3 linked regions of the Lytechinus pictus genome follow. The protein of the gene in region 2 purifies or fractionates together with the protein of the main gene of each other region. This does not show direct contact. Links are inferred from orthologs where the notes say so. Each region holds a gene or a part of one and is shown on either strand. Other genes may lie near its edges. The genes, in order: proteasome subunit alpha type-5-like, akirin-2-like and importin-9-like.

Region 1 (9,892 bases), on a different chromosome or scaffold from region 2:
AAACATTTGCCGATAGGTGTGTGGATGAGCGTTTCAGGCTAATAATTATTGAGAAGTTAGGCAGTCAATCATCTTTATACACTTCTTTAGGCGGTACCGATGTTCATCGCATGGGATTGGTTGATTGTGAGATAGCATGTGGCGCGAAAATTGAGGACTTTATCAAATCCATGCAGAAATCATGCCTTTTTATGGAAATTACGATTTCCAAATGTTCCATAAAGAACGAAAATTTGTTGATTGGACTCCTGTTAATTATAATGAAATGCACGTTATATGAGTTCACCCTGACAAAAACTTTATTGTAAAAATAGCAGAAAAAGGAATTGGCGTACGTAGGTTTGAGAAAAATCCATCAATCAAAAAGTTATCAAATTTTACTTATTTGATTTGTGACGTCATATGCGAGCATCATTTTTACATAGCGAATGGTAACAAAATCAATGAAATGTCATTTCTCATAAAAAAATGAAAATGGTTTCTATACGTACCTTTTGTATACTCAATAGACCAATCATTTCACACCCGATCATGAAAAGAAAACAAAAATCAGTCTTCAGGAACCATCAAAATAATGAAATTCAATCATTTTATATTACATAATATATGGGACAGCTGCTCGTTTATGACGTCACAAAAACTGCAGAACTTTCTTAATTTTTAACGGATTTTCCTAAAACCTGAAGTTCACCAAAACGATAGGCCCCCGGATAGGCCCTATTTGTTATTAGTTTTTCTGCTGTAAAAACTTTTCTTCGTGGCCGGTGAACTTCCCCTTTAACGAGGGAGGCGACATTGCCCAATGCAATGAAGAGAAATAATAAACAACTTATTAGGACCCCGATCTGATAGGAACCGAAATAAGTCACTATCCAATTAAAAAAAGGCAGGCCGCCCTGGCCTGCAGTGAAAAAGGTGCACAGTAGGCCAAACTAGCGAAGTCGTGTTTGTTTGATATATTAGTGGTAGTAAGAGTGATGGAGATAACTTTTCGCAAAAACTGATTATGAGAAACGTGATGGAAATTGGACTTAAAAAATAATAGGTAACCAGGAACGAATAAGTAATTTTGTATTGAAAAGAAAAGCATAGATAGAATCTCCAAAAGAAAGAAAGTCAGGTATAGTGTACTGTATGATTAGTTGATCTCAGACAAGGTCGGTGAATCTTGAGAAAGGGTCCCTACGCTTATAGCACAATGTTGTACTGTCCATCTTTCTTCCCGCTCTTTACTTTCAATCCTCGGCAGCCCGGTCGTGTTATTATGTTTTTTTCTTGCCCAATTTCCTTGTTTTCCAATTTAGCTTTTGACTAATTCCATTCTACCTTCGTTTCCCGCTATTGTTTGCCACTTTGTCATCTTTTGATTTATTTCCCATCGTCATGCTATTGCATTACATATATAGGCCTATTTCGGAATGATTTGTTCTTTCTCAAACGTTCTTCTTTCGTTCCTTTTCCCGCTTAATTCCTTCCTTTTTCATTTAATTTTTTTCTTTCTTAATTCGTTTTATTTTCACTTTTCCCTTTCCCTTTCTTTTCCTCCTTTCCCTTTCCCCTTTCCTCCCCCTTTCCCTTTCTTTCTCCCTCCCTTTTCTCTTTTCCCCCGTTTTTTTTATTTTCCCGGTGAAATCCGCCAGGGGCAGCTTGCCCCCCTGCCCCCGCCTGTTATGCCACTGGGGGTGTCCCCAACATTTTGAATATTCAGGTCATTATACAGCTATCACCCCCCCCCCCCTGCTCGGACCGGATTTTCGCCAGTGCATGATATACGCATGGGCGTCGCTAGGCCTTTCCTAGGGGGGGGGGGGGGCACTGATTGCCTACAAATATTGGTACCATTTACGGCGGCCGACGACCATCAGCCATCGGACTGAGTTCACCATTCTCCTCAGTCACATTTTTTTTCGTCATACCCAGGGGGAGATCCAGCTTTCATCAATTTATATAGGAGGGGCGGAAAACTATTTTTATTCACATTTTCCCCGTCGCGGCCGCCAAAATCTGATTTTTTTCTTCGAGGGATTAAAAGTCTTTACAATATTTTCATTCTTATGTATAGAAGCAAGATAAGGCATTTTATGTGGCCTGAATGTAAATTACCATGCGAGCGCAAAGCGCGAGCTCAATTTTTTTAAATACAAATTATAAAAATTTTGAGCAGCTTTTCATGAACCAGATTTGAATTTTACTAAACGATCCGAATTTTTGATATACTGGCCTGTAAAATGACCTGTTGACTGTTCGTAGTGATCAATGAATAGAATACATATCTCTCCAATCCAAAAATGCGAGGGCGAAGCGCGAACAGAAAATTTTGATATTTCGACCAGGAAACTGGACATTCTAAGCACTTTTTGAATGAATAATATGCGTACATAACTCATTAATAAATTCATGCGAGCGCGAGCTGAAACTTTTAATAACTATTGTAAAAAAAAAAGGGGGGGGGACGTGTAGGCCCTACTGTTTGCAGTGATTCATGAATAGAAAACGTTTTCACGAATCAAATAGAGCGAGCTGAATTTCTTTTTCATAATTATTATATTCGACCAGAAAACTAAACTGGTTAAGCACGTTTTTCATAAAGAACACAGTTAACACGCGAAAAGCGCGAGCTGATTTTTTTTTCAGATTTTAGAACTAAAAACAGTATTCGAAGCAATGTGACCATGAAGAGGGTGGACATAGAACTAAGGAATTGATTCCATGCAGTTTTTCTAATCATGAGAAGAAAGGGTATCAATGAATGATGCGAGCGCGAAGCGTGATCTTGAAATATTTGATATTTTGACTAAACATTTTTACACGTTTTCATGTAAAGTCAAATTTTTATATCATTGAGCGCGTATCTCAATAAACATAATGCGAGCGCGAAGCGCGAGCTGAAATGTTTGATTTATTATAACCCGAAAGAAAATCTTTTAAGCACTGTCCAACATGAAGGAAAATTGTGGAGAGGATATGTGATCTCACTATTTAATATCCCAGCTAACACATAACGTTATAATAACATTATTGAAAGATCTTAGAAATGCTTTCGAAAAACATTTCTTAAAAACATTTGCATAACATTAATGAAACATTATTCCCCTTATGTTAAACATTAAATAAACGTTATTATGATATAAAGCATATAATGTTTTGATGGCCTGACAAGAAACATTTAAAAGACATTTTTTTAAATGTTATTAAAATATCTTATTAAAATGTCTAATCTTGATGTTAAAATGACATGAAATAAACATTCTTAAGAAAACAAAATGATATTTTTTCTAACGTTTTTATAATGTTTCATAATGAATGTAAAATTAACATCTTAAGAACGTTCTTAAGAATAAAATCTAATGTTATAAAAAGTCATGAAAATATGTTTTCAGAATATAAATGTTTTTCTGATGTTTTTTAAAATGTATCAGAAGTATATTAATTTTGACGTTTTTGTGATATCATTATAACATTTTAAGACAAACACTGTAACATTTTACTGACATCTTTAAAATGTTATATCTTGGATGTAAAAATAGCATTTTAAAAACGTTGTTAGAATATTATGACAGTAATGATAAAAGTTCTTGAAATGAATTGAAACTACGATTCTACAATGTTTTAACAAAATATTTTTGAAAAATGTTTTTCAAATGTTTTCCAAAAAAAATTAATAAGATTATTAAAAAACATCTTTATATTAACATTTTTTGAGAAACAAAATAACATTTTACTAACATCTTTTGAATATTATAAATTGGACGTGAACTTATCATTCTGTTAGAATATTCTAACAATAACATCAAACGTTCTTGAAATGTTATGAAACTATGTTTTTAAAATATTTCAACAAAATATTTCAGAAAAATGTTTTTCTGATTTTCTCTAAAAATGTTTCAAAAATGTATCAGAAGCATATGATGCGAGCGAAGCGCTAGCTTTTTTTTTAAATTTCTTTCTTTCTTTCTTTCTTTTGAGATTTAAATCTCAAACCACTCTCGGTACCGAAGCACGAGCTGACATTTTTTTTCAATATTTTGACATGAAAACTTAACATTTTCACACTTTTTATAGAAAGAACAAATTCAGATTCCGTATGTATAATTGAACAAGCTGTGTATCTCAATGAATAAACATAATGCGAGCGCGAAGCGCGAGCTATTTTTTTTTTAAGAGAGAGGGGGGATCCAGAATTTAAACCACTCTCGGTACAGAAGCACGAGCTGACAACTTTGAATATTTTGACATGAAGACTTATAACTTTTGCAATAAATTATATAGCTAGGGCCTATTATGTTGTCACGACCAGACTCTTGTCAGAATGAGCGCGGGAGCGGAGCGACCGCACGAGAAATTTTGCGTTTTTCGAATGCAAAAATTAGGCCAATTTGAGCACTTTGATTCACATTAGAGAATCCACACATTAAGTTAATAGTAGTATTAACTATTTGATGATGATGATGGCTCAGTCGGTATAGAGCGGGGGTTTCGGATTCCGGTGACCCGGGTTCGATTCCCAAGTGGTGCGCTAGTGCCCTTTGGTAAGGCATTTATCCTCATTAACAGGTCCCTCGGAGAGGACCTTAAGCTGTCGGTCCCCTGGTTGCTTGCTCACAGGCATTCGTGCTTTCTTAGCAGTCAGGTAAAAAACCTCGATATAACATAACATAACATAACATGATGAATTTTTTTTTTGGTCTTGAAAGTGGGGAGGGGATGATTGTACACGCCACCACCCTCCGAAAAGTGGGGGGAATATCCCCCTCCCGGATTTACGCCCGTGGCGTACATCATTACCGATCCATAGGCTTCCCTTTTGGGGGACGGAAGCCCACTCGATCAGCCCCCCTCCCATCAGTCAGGCTGTCGTCGTGATATCACCTTGCTTTGCAGGGAATTCGAAAAGTACCATCCTGCAGACCATATTTTCTCGTGTGTCATGACCAGCACTGACTATTAAACGATAGAAGTCTCTATATACATCATTTTCAATGTACGAAGATAGGTTATGCTACCATGCAAAAAATTGCTGTTATGTCTGTCCTTGATGTAACGAAGACATTGCCAATTTCTATACCAATGATGACTCAGGGCGTATAAAGGTCTTCTCGTTTGAACATATTTTTCAACCGATATTAGGTATATCATGCCATGAGGAATGATCACTGTCAACTGAAAATACATAATGTGCAGGATGCACTCAATTTCAATGTTCAATGTTACTCCACATGAACATACTATGTGCAATTCCACATAATGCGCTCCCGTGCAAAAAGAGGGACCACACCCCGTGACGTCAATCTTTACCCCGAATCGCAAACATGTAAAATAAATATCCCACAATGCAACGGCAACATAACATACTTCCGCCGAAGACTGCTCAGCAAAAAAGAGATCTTCTTAGCCTGCCCATTTCAAGTTAAACGACGGTAAGATTAGAATGAAATTGCTTTGGGTTGAAAAAATAGCCTTTAATTGAAATTTTGAAGGTGATATTAACAATCATGATGCCTCAATTTTGGCTTAATTTGTCTTTAGGTCAGTGTCTTAGTCTCAGTACGGTCCCACACATAGATAATTATGTTGGAAAATATTCCGTAGGGGCCTATGTAAATTGTGTAAATTATTCAATCGTCCAATGCAACGCCATCCCCACCGCAACAGTCAGTCGGCAAGCCCTGAAAAAGTAGCTTCTTTTATCCAAGTGATATTCATGACTAGAGGGTTTTTGTATTGTTAATTATCCTGATGCTGACGAAAACACCTCTTTTTATTCGGCCATTGGCATTGCCAATCCGCATTGCTGCTCTAAAAATAATATTAACCAAATTTCATATTTTTGGTATCTTTGTAAAGAAGAAGAATCATTCTTTCAGGTCATGTGTTTGGATTTTTAAAAGGATTTTGTATACTAATATAGGGGAAACTTTTGATCTAAAACGTGAAACAAAATTTTTTCATGCGACAAAAGTTGTTGTTTTTTCACACTTAATTTCTGTTTGAGCACAAATGATTTTTAAATCATGATAAAGCTGAAGATCTAAGCTTTAGTATGATATAATTTTTATAAGATGTATTTTAGATGGGTCAGCAGCCAGCTTTTCATAGGCCAAGTACATTTAACAGCTCAAAAACAAGAATACTGCGCTCTGATTGGTCATAGAGACCACACACCCACGCAAATTCCAATGTTCCCCACACTGGGCTTCTGCAAGGTCACACTCACCATGTGGTAATCTCTTCAAATTACCCGCGCCTGTTGTTTTGACAACATTATTCAGCCAATCAGAACTCTGGATTTTATGTTACTCAGAAATTTCAGAAATCTTGTCTTGCATCTTGATGGAAAAAGCTGGCTGCTGACCCATCTAAAAGATGCCACATATCAAGAGTGACATTGTAAGAAAGTATACAGGGGTGTGAGAGTTCAGATTTTTATCTGATTTCAAATATTTTTGTTTTGATTTTCAGCTTTCAGCTTATTTTTGACCTTCCTCTGTACAAAAAGTATGGGAGCTCTTTCTATTTCAGACTTTTTCAACACTCTTCAGCTTTTTTCAGATCTTTTTATTTGTGACCACTCACACCCCTGAGTATAGAGTTTGAGCTTTCTGATGATATAAATAATGTTTGTGCCTAAAACAAAAAATGTTGCATAATTTGCAAGTGAAAACAGAGGAAGAAAATTCTGTTTGATGCATCTTTTCAGGTAAAAAAATCACTTATTTATCAAAATATTTTATTAAAAAGAAATGACCAATATTAGCAGGATATGATCACTCTCTGATCACCCTACGTCTACGATAATTGTACGTAAACCAAATATGTATTGGGCCGGAATTTAAGTGATTGATGGAGCATGTAAAATGTGAATGGGGCATGCCATGATCAAGTTACATTATTTAGAACTTAATCGTCATTTATAAGGTTTTTCGCTAATCAGAACCGCAATGCGTTATGGGATCGAAAAGGGGGCAAGCAAGCTAGCTCTGCGCACTGCAGACAGTCCGCAGTGCGCGGAGCTACATGTAGCTTGCTTGCCCCCTTTTCAATCCCATAATGCATTGCGGTTCTGATTAGCAATAAACCTTATTGAGCCGAAGTCGGAGGAGATGCGCCATGGCATGCCATGAGTGTTCCAACAATGTCCTTCTAATCTTAAGGCTGCCTTAGGCTCTTTATATGGTGTTCTATTTGCAGGTTATTATGAATTGGTAAATGGAAGACACTTTGTTAGTTACATATATAAAGGTAAAGCCCTTGACACTCAGAAACTAAGATTTTGATTAAGAAAATGATCATAAGCGAATAATATGCGTTTTCCTTCATTTCATGTTGAATCGATATTCATTTTGTATATTTGTGGTCTATTATGTTACATTTGGAAAAGATATACGTGTTGATTATTATGTATTTACATTTCAATAAATATCTTGGCTCTGTTGTGTCCTGAGCAATTTAAATTTAAAGCATGAGGATCAGTGGTGGTGTTGTATTTAAAATCAAAATTTAGCAGTTTGTGTGAAAAAAACGAAAAGTCTTCCAAATTCCTGGCAGCTGAAATTCATTAAACTTTCCCTGGAAATTTGTTTATAAAATCTATGAAAACTTTCCAGCCCTTTGCAACCCTACTCCACGGTCTGAAGTTTTGAGAATAGATCCCACTTGATTGAGGGAGTTGGCAGGAGTTGAACGTATGATTTGCTATGGCCCATGCTAAATTACCGTAATAATTTGGGGTAGTCCGGTGCCAAGTGCCAGAAAATTAAAAAGAGTACAAGGGCATATATGAAAATTACTTGTGGTCCAAAAATATTAACATAAAATAGATGAAAGATTTGCCCACTCTTAAAATAGAAGTATTGCTGTCCATCACATTACTCCATTGGTTTTTGTTTCCTCCAACAGGTATTTAGTGTTGTCAACATTCTCATTTCACTATGTTCCAGACCAGATCAGAATATGACAGGTACGTAAAGTAGTATTCAGGTAATACTTATTTTTTTTATCACACTCCGAACAATAGGCCTATGTTCATTTTTATATGATTCAGAGGTCTGCATTGTACAACTGTCATATGGTGCCATGACTAAAACTATTTGCTATGCCATAGTGTTGAGTAGCTAGGACATTATTTCCTGTAGAAAATTGGCATGTAGTTGCCTTTGATACACAAGAGAATGAATAACAACCAATGGACAGGTACATATATATGGGTCATACTTCACATAAAGAAATCCAAAAGATTTTCTGTGTTAGAGTTTGCTTTGGATGGAAACTTTCAAAGTCTACAGAAAATGTTATGGATGGTTGTAGAACAGGAGTTCATTATACAGCTATGATAGGGAATAATCGTTATTGGATCGACCATGTTTTTCTTGTCGGGATATATAAATCAGGGTCAGTTTTCACACCTAACCAACCTTTCCCCTCCCGGTGTATACCGTTTCTAACCATCTTTTACATTGCTCTAATTTCTCTTTTCCATACTTTTATTTTGGCAGGGGAGTCAACACGTTCTCTCCTGAGGGACGTCTTTTTCAAGTGGAATATGCAATAGAAGCTATTAAGGTTTGTACACAGCATTGATTCGTGTTATTCTTGTTATAATGAAACATAGTTAAATCAAAGTGATTAAAAAAGTCATTAATATGAATATAGAGATGAATGAATAAGATCAAGGTTTCAGATAGTTAGATAGAAATGTATAAATTAATTGTTGAATAAAAAGAAAAATGGATCATAGAGACAAAGATTACAAGAGGATTGAGAAATATTTTTTTTTTTAAGAATGAACATATAAAAAGAGGATAAAATAGATATTGCAATTAACAAAATAAAAATTAAAAAATAAACAATGGATTGATTGTTAATGAATCAGATGTAATAAATCTCTAGCCAGATATTTCAAGAATTTACGTCTGCAATTTACACTGTTATGTATGTTTCCAACTTTGTGTTGTTTGCAGCTTGGATCTACAGCTATTGGAATCAGGACCAGTGAGGGCATTGTGTTGGCTGTTGAGAAGAGAGTGACATCACCTCTGATGGAAGCCACGAGTATTGAGAAGATCGTGGAGGTCGACAGCCACATTGGTTGTGCCATGAGCGGTCTTATAGCAGATTCTAGGACTATGATTGACAGGGCAAGAGTTGAAGCACAGGTAAGGATGACAAGTTACCAGCACAGATCTCAAAATATGATAACAGAAAAGGAAATTGTACTAGATCTCTTCATTTGTTAAAACAACTGTTTGTTGTTTGTTTGTTTTTAGAACTTGGGCCATTCGTCTACCCCACAAGCCTTTTCTTAAATCTCTGCTCAAGTACTCGGCTTAGTCTTAATTCTAACCCCAATCTAATTGAACTCAGTCACTGGCGGATCCAGGGGGGGGGGGGGCACAGCCGGCTCGTGCCCCCCCCCCCTTTTGAGAAGCAAAATAAAAATTTGTAATGTAAAAATGCTGTTTAAACAGAAGTGTGCCCCCCCCCCCCCTTTTAAAGTGAAGACCTTTTTTTTTTTTGCTTGTCAAATTTTGTATATTCAATATTGTATCTTTGAATCTGCTTTGGCTGATGAAACATCTTTGGATTTAGAGGATATTTGACTGACATGACTAAAAGAACAGAGATGAAGGTATCAAGTGAATGTACCTTTAACTTTGCTGAGACCAACCTCTGCAAGTTTGCCTGCAATTTATTTCAAATGGTTGTGTGTTATTTGCCAACTTTTGCAGTGATTTCATCTTACTGCTGATAAGACTTTGTAATATGTTAGATTGAGCTACATGTACATCTATATTATACATAAGAAAGTCTTGAAGTCAGCCTCTAGTGAGTTCATGATTTCATTCTCTTTTTTCCAACTTATTTAATTTTTCCAGAGTCACTGGTTTACGTACAA
Region 2 (10,743 bases):
GCACGGCAGAGTTCACATGGAGAAACAAGACTTGGCCAAGTTACAGATCAGAAAGGTCAAAGCCCTTAAGAGGACAAAGGAACAAACAGAAGACAACCAGAGTGATGTAAAGAAGAAAAGGAAGGAATGATCAATTCGAGTGAACACACTAGAACTTGATGACATGCATGGCAAACATGGATATTATATTTGCCTGAACTTTAAAGTCAGTCTATTTTGACTTTTCATATGGATTAGATCATTCACTGACACCGGTCTCTGTGAAAAGCAATGGGATATTCTGATGTATAGCTGCATCTTCGGGGATCAGCCAAGTTGAGACTGTCCCATCAAACAGAATCAAGTGCATTCCTATAATAGCTTGATTCTGGTATTGCCAGACCAGAGATAGTGAGGTATGAAATGAATATAGAATGAGGCGTGGAAAAGAAAGCAATTAAGATGACACAACAAATGCTCCTGCGACAATTGCTCCGGGCTTAATTTCGTCTACGATGTAAGGTTAGGGTTGCAGTAGGGTTTTATGTTAGGTTAAGGGTACGGTATAGTGTTAAACCCATGGTTGAAGTCATTTGATTATCGTGTGGAATTTAGAGCTGAGCAATTGTCACCAGAGAAAATGTCATGGAACCAGCAATTAGAAAGTATCTATTAATCATACAACTTGATTCAACTGTCACCTGTTACTGGGTCGTGCAGGTGTAAAATTGTCAAAATGAAAGTTTTGGAATGTTATTTTGACATGATAATGGTACTCTGATAGCCATGGTTGAGTTTAACCTGGGTTAACTGAGACCATACTTTTATGGAGTGCCATTAGTCAATACATTCATCAATTAAAATGTACTATCCTGTTGCAAAAAAAGTTGTACAAAAAATAATAATTCAGTTGTGAAATGGGTTGAATAGAAAAATGTGATGAACTTTAATGAATCCATTGGTACATTATAATTGCCATAAATATCAAACAAATATCATGAAGCCCAGCATTCTATAGAAGTGTGGATTAAAATTATAGGTTAGAATAGGATTAAAACTAGTTTTAAAATCAGAATACTACACTGGCCCGAATTCACAAAGGTGGTTTTGAAAACCCACGGTTGAGTCCATGGTTTATGCAGATTTCCTGTATAAATTACGCTTAATTTAGCGTGTATCGGGCGTGTGTATAAAAAATGTCCAATTCTGATGCGCGCCATGTGATCTCCCAAAGTACCTCAGCTTAGATAGGGTTTTAAGAAATCAATAACCAGTTTAATATGTGAATTTCATTGTAATGTTGAAATTATCAGTCTGTGTTTTATTAAACTTGAATACTAAGGTAATATGTATCAGAAATTAGATTAGTATAATTTTTACGTAAGGTCAAAAGTCGTTTTAGATCAATCAATTTTCATTAGAATTTATATTTTTTATAGATTTTTTTATCATTATTGAATGAATTTTGTATAAGATGGTTATTTGATTATTGTCAAATAAATGATTTTAGTTTTTACTCTAATTTTGAAAAATTATTCAATAATTTGCTTTCATTTTCCATGAAAGGAAAATAAAGTTTCCAAGCGGATGCGAGTAACATTGCCCCTTCATATCTTAGGATTATTGCATTGTAATATGTAAAGAATAAGATAAAACATTATTAGGCAGAAAAGCATCTATAAAGATACCACATAGTTACATATTATGAAGCAGAAGTAATTTATAAAGCAGTAAAGAGATATATGTACATGTACAATGTAAATATAAAAATAACAAATCTCCACTTTTTGTATGTGTATTATTGGGAGTTTACCTCTTTTCTTTGAAATGAAATGTTATTTGTCTTTTATAAAACCTTCCAACAAACTCTAAATTTTATGTTTTATGAGGGTTTTATTGTGAAAAGAAAATGTTGAAAGTTTGAAGGGAAAGGGAGAGGGAAAGGGAAAAGGAGAGAAAGAAAGTGAGGGAAAGGAAGAGGGAAAAGAAAATGAAGGGGAAAAGAGAGAGAGGAAAGAGAAAAGAAAAAGGGATAGAATATAGAAAGGAAGGGAAAGCGAAAGAAGCAAAATGGGGGAAAGGGGAAGAGAAAAGGAATAGAAAAAGGGGAAATTAATGAAGTGTAAGAGAAACAAAAGAAGGGAAACGGAGAAAGAAAAGAAAATGGAGGAAAGTGACGTTGAAATGGTTCTGCTATTTTCCCACAAAGGAGTAAGATGACAAGGAGATAAAAGAAGAAGTCCAGGGGCGACTGGCCCTAGCTTTCTCCCTCGACCCCCCCCCCCCCCCCCTCCGCGCTTAGACAAAGGAAAGAGAGAAGGGTTAGGGTTCTGAACAGCGGCGTACCCAGGATTTGCCAAAAAAGGGTCTTCAAACGTAAATAAAGGAGATTTCGTACAAAAAAAAGAGGGGGCACACGTCTTGTTTCTTTCATTGCATTTTTACATTACAAATTATTATTATTTTGCTTCTCAAAAAGGGGGGGGGCACGTCCCCTGGACCAGTTGTGACCCGTCAGGGGGGCAGTCTGCCCCCCCCCCTAGTGGTTCTGAAGGTAAAGGCCAATAAAAGGATGAGAGAAGATAAAACATAAAGAAAGAGGATTGCCGCTGACCCTCTTCATGATATTAAAAATATATAAGAGCGAGGGGATTTAAGGAGTCCCCCTTCCCGCCTCGTCCCTACGCTTCTCCTACCCCTTTGAGTAATCAAGAGAAATTTATCATCAGATCGAGGCATTTAATAACACATCAGGGCTCAATGCAACATTGATATCATATGGGCCGGAGTGGCTGCGACCCCTGTTGGCCGTAAAAAAAAAAGATAAAAACGAGAAAAAGGGAGAGAAAGGAAGGTAAAGATAAAACAACAGGAAGGAAAAATCAAATTAAAAAGTAAGAAAGTGGGAGCGGGAATAAGCATACTGCTAAACTTCGACAATAGTCCTCAATAAAAACCCCGCGATTATGCTTAGCGCTCTTATAACTGAAAAAATATACAGGCCTAATGGGAGGGTGAAGCCCGATTAGCTGAATATTTGTTATTTATTCCTGATAATTTACAGGTAAAAATAAAAGAAACGTTTTAGTGACTGTTTCTAGGAAATCATCAAAATAATTTGTATCTTACTAAACAAAATGATTTAATCTCGGAGCACAATTTTTTGTAGAAATACTTCTGTATATATTTACTTAAAAACATGAAATCTTATGCGCCATTTCAATGCCCTAGCTTGAACACAATATTTATCTTGACGAATATAATAAATAGGCATTGCGAGTGTGAATTAAAACTCGAGCGGAGTTTTCTTCTTTTTTATGCTGACCTGAAAGTGTTTCTGTTGTCCAGATCCCTTTCCTGTTCATCTTCCTCTTTCTTGTATCCCCCTCCTCCTTTTCTCTTTTTCTTCCTCTCATCTCCTTCCTTTTGTGTGTGTGTTTTTTTTTTCATTCCCCCTCTAATTGTGCCCCCAATGAGTGGCTATACACCCGTTTGGTCCATAATTGGATCCAAAATCACAGGCGGGTCCAGGGGCAGGGCCGCCCTCCCCATATTGTCGAGCAAATAAAGAAACAAGAAAAATAAGGGGAAGGAAGGGGGGAAAAGAAAAAGCAAGAATAAAGGATAAAGAGGGGAGAAGAAAATAAAAGAGGAGAGAATAAACTAGGAAGAGGAAGACGATCAGTGAATAAAATAAGGTAAAGACTTGAAACTTAGAAAAAAAACGTTTCATGCATGTGCACTACATAAATTTTCGCCTGCTCTTTACGCTCGCATTGCCTGTTCAATGAGATACAATAATATTTATTGCTCAATATGCCGCTGATCTGAAGCTTAAAATATCAAGTTTTTAAGTAAATATACAAACAATATTTCAGCTCGGACATCGAGCTTTCATTATTTTGTTTGATTTACCATTAATTTTAAAACAAGTGCTCTGTAGAAATGTCTGTTTTAAATCTGTTTTTGGTTTAATTGAATATCAACATTTTGAGTTCGCGCTGCGAACTCGTATCATTTGATAATTATGTCAAGTACATATTCTCTTTTTGTTTTCCATAAAGGTCTCACGATATATCCCTTTACAGGTCTGACTGTCGAAACGTATCGCTAGGGGAAGTTCAGCTGATGAAAACTTTGTTGTAAAAATAGCAGAAAAATATATTGGTGAAGGTGTGAGGAAACCCATAAAATATTAAGAAAGTTATTACAATTTCAAGTTTTGATTTGTGACGTCATAAACGAGCATGCAGCTGCCCCATATGTGATGTATTATAAAATGCATAAATTTCTTTTTTTTTACGGTTCGTGATGACTAATTTTTATTTTCTTTTAGGAGCAGATATACTGAAGGTGCAATGAAAACCATTTTTCAGTTTTCTGAGAAAATGATAGATTGATTTTTTTTTACCAAGCATGTTGGTAGGAAAGCCGCTCGCATGACGTATACAAATCAAATAATTAAGATTGTAATAACTTTTTTATTCTTTGATGGATTTCCCTCAAACCTTCGCCAACAGTTTTTATCATGTTTTTTGCCATTTTTACAATCAACCTTTTGTCAGGGTGAATTTCCCCTTTAATTCTAACAAACTACTATTCCCTTTACATGACAGTTTATGTCATCCCTTAATTTTTTTCAAAATATATCGACAAGTTTCATCTCGAGCTTAGGAAATAAGAATATAGGAAGATATAGTCATCATTTTCATATGATGACAAAATGCCCCTCAAATGTCCCGGTCCTTATAGGTCAAAATAATTATCTTAAAAAAACTCGCGCTTCGCGCTCATGCAGTGCTATCCATGATCGACTTCACAATTTTCCTATGCTTGAAATAGTGCAAAATTGACCCTTCTTGAGATCGGAATATAATTTTTTTCTCAACTCACGCTTCTGCCGGCTCGCATGATTGATTTTCATACTAAAAGGAATGTATTTAGAATGCCCACACGTCTATAGATCTGAAAAACATGGCGACCCTATATCCGGGCCCTATATGTTATCATATGATCATTAATTTTTTTTGCGCTGCCACTAACGCAACGATGGCTTGATCCATCTGCAATATCTTTGACACATTAACGTGAAAAAGGAGGGAGGTTATAATAAATATTTGTATTTCCCTAATAATGCGAGCGCGAAGCGCGGGCGAAAATTTTGATATTTTAGCCCATGCATATCCTGGTGAAAAATTATTTAGGCCTCGATCGATCCGTCGATGAACAGCTAGATCTATAAATATCTCACTTAACAAAGTGAAGAAATATTGAAGCGTGCAGAAATATTTTTTAATCCAAAATTTGTGGGGACGTGTCCCGGCCCAACAGCTGCCCCCCCACCCCCCCCCCCCCCCCGGGGGGGCACTCGACCAAAAAAGTGGTAGGGGTGTGCCGCGGGCGAGGCAAAAAACGGGGGCCTTGGAGCGGGCTTATTTTAAAAAGGAGGGTCCTCGGAACGGGCTTCGGAACTACAAATGTTTGTGAAAACGGGGGTCCTCAGAACGGATCTCCGTATCTCTGTGAGTGCGTATGCATCCCTATGGAATGGGCAATCGTGCATAACGCAGCTAGCGCGGCCTCCGCCGGGTGCGCTCGCACTTAGGCGATGGTCGAAAAGCGCTCTACGGCCGCTTTTCACCAAAATTGTAGCAGATCAATGCGACTGGAACGGCGTAACGAAAAATATGCAAAGCTTTGGAGCGGATTTCTTTCTTCTTTTTTCTCGATAAAAAGGAAATGCCGGGGAAATGCTATGCCTTGGAGCGGCTTTCTTTGTTCTTTTTCTCAATAAGACAAAAATGCTATGCCTTGGAACGGAAATTTGAGTGTAAAAATGGGGGTCCCCTCCGCGGCACATACCCACTATGCATTATATACTGAGTGCCCCCCCCCCCGGGCCCCCCCCCCCCCCCCCATCATAGGCCTATGCCCCGATATGTATGAGTACATTAGGACACATATCTTTGGGGCCCTCGGGTCATCTCTTTCCCAAAATTCTTTTTTTTTTTTTTATTTATATCGTACGCCGTATAAACATATAGGGCAAGAATAATTTATTTACGGTAATTTAGTTACGGGGGGATTCTAGTTACGGTACCGTACAGTCAAGCTCGATGTACGTACGTACCAATGTGTACGTAATCACGCAGTGTGTACATGTATGTTATGGACCCGTACGTACGGACACGTACACGTACGTACGTCGTACGTACGTACGGCCGGTAAGCCCGGCCCGGTATACGGCCTACAAAGCAACTTTTAAACATCGCAGGGGACGAGGAAACGTCGATTTAAATCGCGAACCATCAGTTTAATTTGGTAAAATAAGGACAATTACCTGATCAGTTTTAATCAAGTGGAGGTTTCTCCACATTACCCTTTCAGTTTGTTTGAATTTGAGCGTTGCATGTGCCCATATTTTGGGCCTAAAAGGAGGGGTGTTTCTCAGTTCTTCTTGTAAATCTAAAATGGCTTGTGCGACACTAAAACGGACTCTCGACTTTGATCCACTTCATAGCCCTGGAACCTCCCCAAAAAGAAGAAGATGTTCACCCATAATCACTCCGTCAACACCAACTTCTAGAAATAGTCTTCAACAATCACCATTTTCTCCAGTAACACCTAGAATATCACCAGGTGAGATTATTTGAAGTTGAACGTGAGTCACCCAGTCCCATTTTTTTTATGTCAACAAAACGACATTCGTCACAATGAATGGAAATTCCGGCCTGCGTTGTCTGCGTCTGCAGACTGCACAGACATTCTGTGACGATTATTGGTTTGTTGACATTTTTGAAGTAAAAAGTGGTTCACTTCATCAATGTCCATGCCTGGGTGTGAAACTACATTAGCGCCCATCATGCTGGCACAAATGCTGTGCAAAATCTACAAACATGACAAAGTTGGGCGCTGATGCCCGAAGCCGAGTGATGCAGTTTCGCACTGGCTGACTCCGGGAGGGGGGAGCACTCATTATATAATGCGTGGTGGGTATGTGCCGTGGAGGGGACCCCCATTTTTACACTCAAATTTCCGCTCCAAGGCATAGCATTTTTATCTTGTTGAGAAAAAGAACAAAGAAAGCCGCTCCAAACTAAACTAAAGCATAGGCCTAGCTCATTTTCTTATCGAGAAAAAAGAAAGAAATCCATTCCAAAGGCAAAGCTTCGCATATTTTTCGTTACGCCGTTCTGGTTGCATGTACCAGTATCCGCTACAATGAGCTGCAATTTTGGTGAAAAGCGGCCGCAGAGCGATTTCTGACCATCTCTGAGCTGCGTGAGCGCAGCGCCCGTGCCACCGGGCTAGCTGCATGCATGTACATGTATGCCCGTTCAATAGAGATGCACACTCACATGCAGGCAAACCGTTCCAAGGACCCCCATTTTTCACAAACATTTGTACTGTAGTTCCGAAGCCTGTTCCAAGGACCCTCTTCACAATAAGCCTGTTCCTAAGCCCCTGTTTTTTGTCTCGCCTGCAGCACATACCTACCACTTTTGTGGTCAATTCTAGATTTCTTGAAAAGAGATTGACTAAGTTTTCTTAGACTAGACCCTAGTCTAACGTTAAAGAGAAATTCCAGTAGTTGCAGTAAACACTGATTTCATGAGGAAGTCTGTAAAACCAGGCTTAATTGTCAGTATATCATCGAGGATCTAGATCTGGTACAGTTACATAAACTGAACTTTGTGAAATCTTGAAATCTACGCTGAATAATGTTCAGACTGAACTTCCCCTACACAGATAAGCGCACGTGGGACAGTGTATAATTATTGCTTTGAGCGTCGGGCCCGACGCTCTACCCGAATCCTGTGCTTATTTGCTGATTTCTCAGCAATTACACAATTTCTTCCAGAATCCTTTGGCACATGCGTTTTATTCATACAAACAGACACTTTGGTGGTCATTTCATTGGATTCTGTACGAACTCATTTTGATATCGTTACCAAAACTAGCATTTACCTTTAATCATGACATGTCACGACAAAGTGAGAATTTTTTTTTTTAATCCCAGTCGAATTAGACTTAAATGTGCAGACCCATAAGTTTGCCATCAATTTTTAAATTACTGAGCTGTGCCACTCACCTGTCAAACAGTCAATGTATGACATACAGTAGAAGCGCCCGGCCAATATTCTTTGCACAAGGACAAAAGAAACAATGTACACCAACAAGAACATAATTTTTTCTTCCCAAAATTTTGTCTCACTGAGGTCAGAAGCCCATTTGGTTTATGTGTGAATGATGACAAAAATCAAACAACAGTTGACAGTGAAAAGGGTTATTTATCTTAGGGAATCTGCTTATCACATTTCAAATAGCCGCCAAGGTAATTCTTTTGCAGCAAATGTACATGTAGACAAAGGAAATTGGTCTCCCAAACTAGAGGCTGTCTCTGAAATTGGAAATGAAAATTGTAACACCATCATCCTTTTGTTGGGTGAGTTCAAGACGCATGGCGTCTTGAAATGGTTTGTAATGTTATTAAGTTTTTTAAACTGATGTTCATGGATTACCTTACTTGTTCTTATTGATGAACAGGCCAGCTTGCAGCTCACATTAGTCAAGAATGGCGAAGGATAAAGCGAAGGAAACGGTTGGAAGATTCGTACAGCACCGAGTCACCTGTATCATCAGAGATGATGGAGCAAGCATCAAGGTTTGGTCTAACATCGGGATGCTTCTCACCACCATCCACATCCACCAATCCTATGCCCAACTTGCCTTCAGGCTCTCTACAACAAACACAAACCAAAGATCAACCCATGTTCACTTTAAAACAGGTAGGAATGGAGATGGATGGTTTTGAATAAACAACCCCAAAAGTACCCCCTTCTTTTTCAACATGCCGAAACAAGTTTTCCCTGAATGTGCTTTATACTCATGCATGGCTCAACGGATCAAGTGCATTTTATTTTAGATGAATAAGTCCATGTCAATAGTGCAAGATCACTGGTACCAAGTTCATTTATCAAAAAAATTATTTCATTTTTTTTAAAGGGAGTAGTTATTTTGGTTCTTGCATGTTTGTGGCTCATGGTGTTGGGGTTTTTTGTCAGGCTTGGGATCAAATAGGAATGCCACTGCCTTACTTTTGATCTTTAGCAAGACTTTCGTCTTCATATCCCCCATTTTATAGTGAAGCTATAGCAGTCATGTGAAATATCAAGTAATGGCTGTAAAAAGTTATTTCAGTGTTGCTGATGTTGACAGCTACATGTATCTTTAATTCTAATTTGTTCTACAGGTTATCCTAATATGTGAACGGATGTTGAAGGAGCAAGAATCTAGGATACGTGAGGAGTATGATAAAGCCCTAACGTGCAAGTTAGCTGGTAGGTATCCCTTTTTCATCAACAAGTACTGATACTTTTCATCAAGCAAGATGCCAGGGTTCTTACAGGAATTATGTTAGATTAAAATCAAACTCGTAATTGACTGATTCAGTTATGGGTAATCAAGATATATGAATCTAGAATAGGTCATTGCCATAAGTAATAATTATGAGCGGCATGCTTGTTAAAATCATTTTAAATCTAATTAATTTGACATTTTGGTGTCCAGACTTGACCTTTGAAATTGTTCAGTCTGGAGTCATTGTCTGCCAGATGGCAAAATATAAATCGCAATTTTGCCTCTTTAACATTTTTGTTGTTTTCACCAGTGACTCCCCACATTTCCCAATGACTTTGTACACAATATAAAGTGTGACATATTCTCTGCTGCACCCCAGCTGAATGTATCCTGTGAATCCTTTCCCTAGGATAGGATGTTCAATTGAAGAAATTTCAAGGTCATTTTGATGAAGTTTCCTCTTTAACCTCCTTGCCACTGGTTACACTAAAGCTAAAACCATGTATCATTGATGGGAATAAAGTGAAGATACATTCTTAATGTAGGTGAAGCTGTCCAGTTCAAATATCTTCTGACCGTAGTCCGTAGTATCAAGTAAAGAAATACCTGATATATCGCATAAAATGGTCTGGAAATTGTTTGGACCTCAAGTGAATATTTTTGTTAACCCTTGGCATACTAATGTTGCAATTTGCCCATTCATTACATTAAATTCCACAATTTTAATTAGTTTTCTCCCATATAAAAGCTAATAAAATGGCTTTAGTTCTTGGATAATATTTATACAATAATTCAAAGAAGACACCATACACATAAATTTTGTCATTATTATCCCTCAGAATTCAGCATGCAAAGAGTTAAATGGAACATCCACTTGTGCAGAATTAACTGTAACAAGGAAATGTATCATTGAGTCCAAAGGGTTTTTCATGCCATTTTTGCCATACTCTATAGTATGCAAAATGAAGTTATGCTGCAAGCATGAAGGTAAATTTATAGACTAAACATTCTGAGAACCTTTCTTAGTTCCTACTGCATTGATCGTTATTATTCATTTGCTTTTTTTATCCTTTGTTATTTCAGAGCAATATGATGCATTCGTAAAGTTCAACCAAGATCAGATTCAGCGTCGCTTTACCTCTACAAGCATGAGCTGTGAGTATCATAGTCATTGCAAAAACTTCTCTATTAATGCTTGGGCTCAGTTATACAAAGCTTGACAATTGATGTCCCGCTGATGTTCATGATTGATTCCATTGATACTGATTTGTAATCAATGGGTGATTTCAAGTACGGTGTTGAAATCTGGTGTTGGTGTTGTGACAACACCAACACCAGCCAAAACACCGTACTTGAAATCAGGCTGGTGTTGGGATTGACCTCGGAAAATATGACGTATTTCCG
Region 3 (10,015 bases), on a different chromosome or scaffold from region 2:
TGGTATCTTTGTAAAGAAGAAGAATCATTCTTTCAGGTCATGTGTTTGGAATTTTAAAAGAATGTTGTAATATAGGAAAAACTTTTGATCTAAAACATGAAACAAAATATTTTTTTCATGCAACAAAGGTTGTTGTTTTCACACTTAATTTTTGTTTGGGCACAAATGATATTTAAATCATGATAAAGCTGAAGATCTAAGCTTTAATATGATATAATTTTTATAAGAAGATGTATTTTAGATGGGTCAGCAGCCAGCTTTTCATAGGCCAAGTACATTTTGCAGCTAAAAAACAAGAATACTGCGCTCTGATTGGTCATAGAGACCACGCACCCACGCAAATTCCAATGTTCCCCACACTGGGCCTCTGCAAGGTCACACTCACCATGTGGTAATCTCTTCAAATTACCCGCGCCTGTTTGTTTTGAAAACAGTATTCAGCCAATCAGAACTCTGGATTTTATGTTACTCAGAAATTTCAGAAATCTCGTCTTGCATCTTGATGGACAAAGCTGGCTGCTGACCCATCTAAAAGATGCCACATATCAAGAGTGACATTGTAAGAAAGTATAGAGTTTGAGCTTTCTGATGATATAAATAATGTTGGTGCCTAAAACGCAAAATGTTGCACAATTTGCAAATGAAAACAGAGGAAGAAAATTCTGTTTGATGCATCTTTTCAGGTTAAAAATTCACTTATTTATCAAAATATTTCATTCAAAAGAAATGACCAATATAAAAGAGTAACATTTACTCTTGCCCATGGTACAAAAATAATCAATATTACTCAAGGAAAAAGTGGTTAAATTCTTTGAGAAAGAAAGTCTCACAATTCACGAGATTTTGCAGGGACATGCATTCAGCCACGAGAGGACTTGGATAAATCTTGCTCATTTGCTCATTAACACAGGGGCTTGCGGACTGACTATGGATGTTCAGTGATACTTGATTAACCTTATGTATAAGTTTCATGAACTAGGTCCATATATTTTCTAAGTTATGATGACATTTCAAAAACTTAACCTTAGGTTAAGATTTTGATGTTGATTCCCCCAACATGGTCTAAGTTCATTGACCCTAAATGACCTTTGACCTTGGTCATGTGACATGAAACTCAGGCAGGATGTTCAGTAATACTTGATTAACCTTATGGCCAAGTTTCATGAACTAGGTCCATATACTTTCTAAGTTATGCTGTCATTTCAAAAACTTAACCTCAGGTTAAGATTTGGTGTTGACGCCGCCGCCGCCGTCGCCGTCGGAAAAGCGGCGCCTATAGTCTCACTCTGCTATGCAGGTGAGACAAAAATTGGGAATAAGCGAGGACAAGTAGCTGAGGGACCCCCCCCCCTCTATCTCTAGTTATTTACTATAACTCGCATATACAAGAGAAGAAATTCTTACTAATCAAAATATTGCGAGCAAAAAGCATGAGCTGACATTTTTTTTAATATTCAAAACTGATAGAGAGACACATTTTGAACAATTCATGAAACATAATAATCTTTCATTATAGCTACCAATCGGATTGCGACAAGATCTGAGAATTAGAAATTCATTAAAAGCATAAAATTGTATAACATTAAAATAAGACGGGCGCAACGCATGAGCTAAAGCTTTATATACCAACTAAAAATTTGGACATATTTAGCGCTTTCGGTAGTCATGAAAAAGATTCATATTTCATGAAAGCTCAAATCCCGAGGAGGAATATTTTTTATAAATTGACTTAAAAAAGGCTGTTCTAATTAAGCCCCATTTAATATTTCATTACAAGTCTCGTTAAACAGTAAAAGAGGAAAAAATAGAGCATATTGTGTTCCTCAATTCTCTTTCTCTTTAACCCTATTTTTTTTTTTTTTTTTTTTTTTGGGGGGGGGGGGAGGTATTTTGGTTAAAAAAAAGGAGAAAAAACGATATTTGCTGGCTAGTGGGTGTATAGTGGTAGGGACACCCCGCCCCACCCCCCCCCCCCCCCCCCCGTAGTTACGCAAACATGGGACCAAATGATCCTACTTGTTCCAAGGCGAAACTTGTGCAATCAATTAAATGTTATTTTTGAGAAAATTAAAGCTTGCGCTGTTTAAATTCAATCTCTTTCACCTACATTTGCGATGAATGCTAGCATTATGAAATATATAATTATCAACGTCTGGCGAAACGAATAACCAACCGATCAGCTGACGAGAACGCGTATCACGTGATCTGCATATCAGCTTCGATCACGAGTCAGAAGTGAAGAGCAACTGGCAATAAAATCTGGAAAAAGTCGTCAAAATGTAAGTTCCCCTTCATTTCTTTCAATTTTTTTTTATTGCTAACAATGCTTTAACTTTCTTAAACAAAAATTTAATGAATAGACAGTACGATAGCTCGTACTTGTGTTATAATACACAAATAATCATCTTCACAAAGATTTCTGACACAAAATACTACAGATGTCGCCTATGAGGTCCATACATGTAATGTTTGGACCTCATTGGTACTAGGACTTTAGTACTAGGCACTCTAGGCGACACCCCAATACTTACCCGTGCTAATAAACTGGGACTCCACTCACGCGCATTTGGGCCGCCCTAGCTTAGAACTAAGCAATATTATCTAGAAATTGTTAAACTCTAGTCATGAAATATGTTCTATTAAATAAATTGATAATGTTTAATCGGTACTCACCGGTTCTTTTGTTGCATTTTCAGACCATTTCTCACAATTCTTCGTAAATATTTGCGGCAAATTTTGTCGCCATAGACAGCTATACATCCATCTTTATTAATAAATGGAGCGCCCTTTACGATAGTTGTTAATGCCGCGGAGAAATCGTTAGGCATTTTGGCATGTGTTCAAGGCGTTCTTTCTGTTTTATTTTTTATATTGAAGATTGTGCATTTGTTGAATAGCGCCGTCTACGTCAGGTATGAGATCGAGTGTATAAATACACTCTTCCAAAATAATTATGATTCCGACCTGGCGCTGTTTAACTTCAATCTCTTTCACCTAAATTAGCGATGAATGCTAGCATTATAAAATATATATTATTAACGTCTGACGAAAAGAATAACCAACCGATCAGCTGACGAGAACGCGAATCACGTGATCTTCATATCAGCTTCGATTGCGAGTCAGAAGTGAAGAGCAACTGCCCAGAAAATCAGGAAAAAGCCGTGAAAATGTAAGTTCCCCTTCATTTCTTTCATTTTTTTGTTGTTGCTAACGATGCATTTACACTATAAAATTATAATTTAAATAAGAGAAAGGAATATAGCTTGTACTTGTGATATAATATATAGGCCTAAATATCCTGTTCTCAGAGATTTCTAACCAAAAATACTACTGATGTCGCCTATGAGGTCCATACATGTAATGTTTGGACCTCATGATTGGTACTAGGAGTGGTACTAGGCAGGGGCCGCGGAACGGTTTTCAAAGTGGGGGGGCTGACCATGCTAAAAATCACAATCATATGGTCAATTTTACGTTTTTGTACACGGTTTTGGAAAAAAGTGGGGGGGCTGAAGCCCCCCCCCCCCCCGGTTCCGCGGCCCCTACTAACGTTAGGAGTGAGTTTGGGGAAGTTACAAATACAAATTCAATTGATGCAGAGCCGCATCTGGCAGAGCCAGAGGTTCGAGCCCAGCCCCTGGTCACGTCTTTCGGATGGTGACGTTAAAGTTCGGTCCCAGACGTAAATAATCATATCTGATTGATACACGTCTGACAAAACTCAAATCCACACACACAGTGTGCCATATGACAAGTTTTAAAACAATTCCCAGTTCACACTCACACGTTCACACCGCACGGACATGAAACTGAGCATTTGGGACTACACAAACACAATCACAAGTAAGAACGTTGAACATAAATGATAACCAAACGTGTCGATAAGAGACTACTAACCCTCTGTTACTTCTAGGAGCTTAAGCTGTTCCTCTCCTTGCTGTCTAACATCTTGTTGAGGAGAAAGGATTGCTGTAAGGCTCTCAATTAAAGCATTCCTGACAGTATTGCTCGCTTCAACTTCACTGACAGCCATGATGACTTCTTTCACTTTTCCTCACGATCACGATCACAAGTGCGCGCCGTGTGTGTCAATTTTTTATTTGCGCGCGCTAGCGCTACGAGTTTTATCCAGTGCTAGTAGTACATGCAGTGACAAATAGAGATCAGAGATAAAGTCAGAATAGAAGAGGACTCAGAAGCAGAGTCAAAAGAAGAGTAAGAGTAAGAAGAAGAAATGAAGAAGAAGAAGAAAAAGAGTAAGTAAGAAGAAGAAGAAGAGGAAGAAGACGAAGAAGAAAAGGAAAAAGAAGAAGAAGGGAGGAAGAAGAAGAAGAACTAAGAAGAAGAAGAAGGGTCAGAAAAAGATCAGAGTCAGTGAATGGGAAGAACAAACGGAACAACTTAAAGGACGAGTCCACCCCGGAGTCCAACCCAACAAAAAAGTTGATTTCAGTAAAAAGAGAAAAATCCAACAAGCATAACTGAAAATTTCATCAAAATCGGATGTAAAATAAGAAAGTTATGACATTTTAAAGTTTCACTTAATTTCACAAACCAGTAGGTCTATAATAGATCTATGCACATCCTTGTCGGTATGCAATATGAGGAGTGGTGGTATGTCATCCACTCACTGTTTCTTTTGTATCTTATTATATGAAATATGGAATTCTAATTTTCTCCTCATTGTCAAGTGAAACAGGGGTTATTTTTCTCTGAACATGTAGAATTATAATGGTACAGTCAAGTTGGTACCTATTGTTAAATCTGTAATAAAAGTGAAATATTATATAATTCAAACAATAAAAAAACAAAATAAATAGTGAATGAGGGAACATCATCGACTCTCATTATTTTGCATCACTGTTTTGTGAAAAAGTGAAACTTTAAAGTGTCATAACTTTCCTATTTTAAATCCGATTTTGATGAAATTTTCAGCATTAGGCTAGTTTGATTTTTCTCTCATTTATTCGAATCAACATTTTTGTAGGGTGGACTTTTTTTTTTTTAAAGAAGAAGAATGAGGGGGAGGAGAAAATAGAGAAATAGAGATCCGCAAGATCTCGGGAGTCGAAGAAGTATAGAGAGTCAGAAGAAGAGTAAGAAAGTCAGCTGAGTCGAGAACAACAACATCAACAACAACAATGAAGAATGAGGAGGAGAACTTTAAGAGATGGGGAAGTGGGCCGATGAATTTGCAGCACTATACAGTGCGTCCCATAAAAAACGAAACCGAGATTTATCGATGATTTATCATAACTTAATCACAAATACAATAGACAAATGACCTACCATTGTAAAGCTTAGAATCTCTTCTTTCATCTGAAATTATACTTAGATTATTTCTCATTCAAGCATGAGTGAGCAAAAACAATTTGAAGAGGGGATACCAAAATGTCATTTGGCGGGCTGTATCTGAGTTTCAAAAAGAAAACCACATTTCTAAAAAATTCAATATCTGTTCTTTAATTTGATACCTCAATTACAGAAAATGGTCAAGAAATAAGAAAGTTCTGGTTATTTGAAATAAGGCTTGAATTTCAATAATTTCATAAAATGAAGAGGTTTTACAGGCTAGCGTTCAAACTCACTCGACACTCCGTTTTGTTGACGCTCAGCCATGCTTGAAGTCTTTTGTTAACCATGCGATAGCTTCTGTGGGAAACCGGTGAAAACACGTTTATTTAATGAAATTATGGAAATACAAGCATTGTTTCGAGGGAACGTAACTTTTTTACTTCTTGACCATTTTTTGTGATTAAGGTATCAAATAAAAGAGCAGATATTGAACTTTTTAGGCATGTGATTTTCTTTTTAAAATTCAGATACCCCCCGCCAAATGAGTTTTTGGTATCCTCTCTTCAAATTATTTTTGCTCACTCATGCGTGAATGAGGAATAATCTAAGTAATATCAGATGAAAGAGGAGATTCTAAGCTTTACATTGGTAGGTCATTTGTCTACTGTATTTGTGATTAAGTTATGATAAATCATCGCTAAATTTCGGTTTCGTTTTTTCTGGGACGCACTGTATACTTTTTGCTAGCCATTGGACGTACAGACCGGGGGAGGAGATGGGCGGCTTTCTTTTCTTCTGCGTCATGCTGTTGCACATATTTTTAGATTAAGACCTAAAAATGTGACATTCTATAAACTTTTTTGTAAACATGAAAATGATGGGTATATGGGGCCTATCTACTTTAGTAAATGATAAGAGTGCAAAGGGCGAGCTCTGAATGTCTTCTATTCCAATCTGGCATATAGTTTTCAAATAAAGAACGAGCTGTGCATGATTTTAAACAATCCATGAGCGGCGCAATGTGTGAGCTGAAATTTCTTATACTGATATTTTTGTTTTTTAGTAATATTTATTAATCATTCAGTTCAAAGTCAAAGTGATTGTACATTACAATATAGCCTATACTGATCCGATATATGGAACCACTTATTCTTTAACATAGGAAAATTGTGAAGAAGATAGATGATTCAAGCACAAGCTTATTATGATATTACCGTTTTGCAGTGCTTATTGTGATGTCTCTCCTCTGACTGTAAAATGGAGAAGAAAAAAAAAATGTGTCAGGAGTGGGATTCGAACCCACGCCTCCATTCGGAGACCAGAACACCCATTTGTCTCATGTGCGAGAGAAAGAATTATTCTTGAGTCTGGCGCCTTAGACCGCTCGGCCACCCTGACAACACGGCCTTCTTTGGGAGTCATATAAATATATATATTTTTTACCGTAATTTCATTTTCTTTTACTGAGTCTGAGATCGGACGAAACTTCTTTAGATTTTAATGATTTAGTTCCATTATTTGTCTGCTCGTCAATACTTATATCATATATTTAAGATTCGAAATCAATTAGTCATTAACATTGAAAAAAAAAATGGAATAGTTGATTTTTTTAATGGGTAAAAAATATACATTCCAGTGAACAACACAATCTCGATAAATCCTGGCTTGTTAAGCCTGAGGCTAAGGACACTTCCGTACGGTACTAGTTTCTTTTTGATATTATAGAATTAAATTTAAAATATATGAAATGGTAAAATTTCAATGTAAAATTCGTAGTATAATATCCAGGAAAAATACATAATGATAATTATCCCTTATGGAATAATGTAGTTGGCAAATTTAACGTAAACACACCATTACCGAAGAGCGCACGTGTGTGCTCCATGCAATTCGCAAGTTGCAACGAAGGGTCCTAGACTGCACTGCACTAGCACTGTGACTGTGAAGTGAGAGCCCACTTTATAGCGGAGCGGAGGCAAGTAATTTTGACAAGACTCAAGAGGATTGAACTTTTATTCTGTTATTTCGAGGTATTGTGGAAAATTCGACAAGAGTTCTAACGTTATGAAAGTTGATAGGATTTCTAAGTTCGTATCATCAACACCATTGACATTTTTCTTGTTCTATTACTTTAGTATAGGCCTAGTATATTACTATAAAATAGTGTCACTCATGGCTCATGCCATGGTAGTCATGCTAGTAGCCCCATACACTCAATATGGTGTAGGCCCCCCCTAACTGTAAGTTAAGTGACTTTTAATGTTACACTTACTCTATATTTATCCTACCTCAAAGCACTAGCTGATAGCTCACTGCAACCATCCTGCCTGTGGGGAATCTACAGGTAGGACTCACTCACATGTATTGCGAGGTTAGTTAGTATACTAACACTAACAGTACTCAGTAGGGTGTCTGGAGAAAAAAATTATTTTTCTTATTTCAAGAAAATATCACATTTTCTTTGTCAAGTTTGTGAATTTGAAGAGAAATGACCTTCAGACTGACAGAAATGTAAAATTTTTGAAAAAAGTCCAATTATTGGCTGCAAAAAAGAAGAATGAAATTAGGTCAATTTTCAGCATTTCTCTGCCATAGACTGTGTAGGCTCTAGTTAAGAAATGGACATACACAAATCCAAATTTTTAGCTTCCGAGAGCTGTTAATAAATTTATTATTAATGCCAAAAACTTGTCCATAAAGAGTCCAATAGGATTTTTTATGCTCTATCTGATGGTATGATTTTTATAAAGATTTGGAAACCAGATCACAATGAAAAATTGCGACAAAGTGAAAAAAATTGTGCAAAACAGAAATTTCATTTTCCCATAGAAAACGCATGGAGAAATGGCAATCTCAACACACACAAAAATAAGGGTTTGCAATTTATCTCTAAATCCTTATTTAAAATGATCATATAAACTTGTCCTTACTGTCAAAAGAAGCCCCTGAATTTTCTCTTTCCATACATGCCAAACATAAGTTAATAATCAATTCAGATCACATTTTTCTAGTAGCCTGAACTTCCCCGAAAAAATGTGCCATATTTTCCCCTAAATCAGCCTGTTTTATGCTGACACTTTTCAGTGTGGCTTCAGACACCCTACTAACAGTAGAGGCGCACGGCCAATATTGGAGACTGTCTCCAATGTGGGAGATTATCTCCAATATCAGAGACTTTTGTAAAGAATTTGGGTATCCAATTTCAGAGACAGTCTCCAGTTTTGGTGACCAATTTCCTTTGTTTACATTTGCTGCAAAAGGATTACCTTGGCGGCAAATAAAAATGTGATAAGCAGATTCCTCATGAAAAATTACCCCTTTTCACCGTCTACTTTAAAAATTCACCGTCTACTTTTGTTTTGATAAGGATTTTTGTTGTCAATCACACACAAAACAAATGGGCTTCTGACCTCGGGCTCAGTGAAACAAAATTTTGGGTGGAAAAAATCATGCTTTTGTTGGTGTTGTTTCTTTTGTCCTTTTGCAAAGCAAGTCTCCAATGTGGGAGATTGTCTCCCCTATTGGAGAGAGTTTCCCATATTGGCCGTGCGCCTCTACTGACTAACCTCGCACCACGAACCGCGTTTGGCAGTGCCAGTGGATTTCTAACTAGTGGGTCGCGCGTGCTGGGATCTCACTTCTTGGGTCCACAACACACGACTTCTATGGCTTGATTTTTATGTGCGTGGCGGCATGTAATGAACCCTTGGGTGGGTAGGACTATGGTATGCCAATGCTGTACAGAGCACACACTTTAAAAAAATAATTAAAATATCACTTATGTCTTTATGAAGTTTTGTGACCAAAATTACAAATTTCTTTACAGTTACTTAAGCTTAGCTGCTTAGTCTGACTCTTAGTTACACTTACAGTTGCAATTTATTTTTCATTAGTAACTTGGCCTTGGGAATAATCTTTGTATTCACCAGAGCGCTCAAAAACTTGGAATTTTGGGCATATTTTTGTGTACGCCCTCTATTGGTGGAAAGTAATATGGCAAGAAAATTTTCATTTTTCAATCTCTATTTTAAATTAAGAAGAAAATAATTGAAAGAATCAAATTTACGTAAGCAGCAAGTTGTATGATGAATAGGTGTAATGGAAACTGTCAGTGTAAAAAAATCAAGCATTTGTCCCAAAGAAAAAGAGAAAATAAGCCAAACATTGCCACCCTTATTTTGCCACACATGGAGATACAACAGAGAACAAGGTTATATTATCATAACCTTGTTCATTGAATGGGTGCCTCAAAGTGATGTTCGTGCAGGCTCCACTTCATTACTGCTACACTACGCTCCACCTACCCGAACATCAAGGTCCAAAACTCGCTCTGATACTCTTGAGTGGTAAAGGTGGAAAAAATGCATATATATTGTTACCTCAAGTGATGTTCGTGCAGGCTCCACTTCACTACCGCTACACTAAGCTCCACCAACCCGAGCATCAAGACAGTGAGTGAACTCGTTCGGATACTCCGAGTGGCTAAGGTGGGAAAAAATGCACATTGTAAAAAATATATTAAAAAAAAGACATCAACGATAAATAAAAGCTTAATTTCTTACTCTTCACCCTTATTTCACCCCGTGTCCATCCTCCGGTCGTCCTCAAAATTGGTGATTTTTGGCCAGTATCTAATTCCTCACACAATTCCTCACACGTATTATTTACGTCCGATTTCAAAACATCGCACGCGAGGGTCCCAGCCTCAAACAGCATGAAT

What was found.
Region 1: the proteins of akirin-2-like (region 2) and proteasome subunit alpha type-5-like purify together in Homo sapiens (affinity purification with mass spectrometry; 3 studies listed by BioGRID and IntAct, with this or other methods). This does not show direct contact. The link is inferred for Lytechinus pictus from reciprocal best matches to the Homo sapiens genes AKIRIN2 and PSMA5.
Region 3: the proteins of akirin-2-like (region 2) and importin-9-like purify together in Homo sapiens (affinity purification with mass spectrometry; 3 studies listed by BioGRID and IntAct, counting the BioPlex papers as one, with this or other methods). This does not show direct contact. The link is inferred for Lytechinus pictus from reciprocal best matches to the Homo sapiens genes AKIRIN2 and IPO9.

The regions. Positions count from the first base shown.
Region 1 is NC_087247.1:8,335,238-8,345,129, forward strand, and holds the start of proteasome subunit alpha type-5-like, read left to right. Parts: upstream 1-5,048; 5' UTR 5,049-5,417; intron 5,418-7,896; 5' UTR 7,897-7,928; coding exon 7,929-7,957; intron 7,958-8,492; coding exon 8,493-8,559; intron 8,560-8,957; coding exon 8,958-9,152; intron 9,153-9,872; coding exon 9,873-9,892. UniProt on the Homo sapiens protein: Component of the 20S core proteasome complex involved in the proteolytic degradation of most intracellular proteins. This complex plays numerous essential roles within the cell by associating with different regulatory particles.
Region 2 is NC_087248.1:10,423,676-10,434,418, forward strand, and holds the start of akirin-2-like, read left to right. Parts: upstream 1-6,173; 5' UTR 6,174-6,449; coding exon 6,450-6,618; intron 6,619-8,526; coding exon 8,527-8,768; intron 8,769-9,232; coding exon 9,233-9,320; intron 9,321-10,422; coding exon 10,423-10,494; intron 10,495-10,743. Other genes in the region: ribosome production factor 2 homolog, read left to right, coding at 1-130. UniProt on the Homo sapiens protein: Molecular adapter that acts as a bridge between a variety of multiprotein complexes, and which is involved in embryonic development, immunity, myogenesis and brain development.
Region 3 is NC_087247.1:53,573,292-53,583,306, forward strand, and holds the start of importin-9-like, read right to left. Parts: upstream 4,034-10,015; coding exon 3,898-4,033; intron 1-3,897. UniProt on the Homo sapiens protein: Nuclear transport receptor that mediates nuclear import of proteins, such as histones, proteasome and actin. Serves as receptor for nuclear localization signals (NLS) in cargo substrates.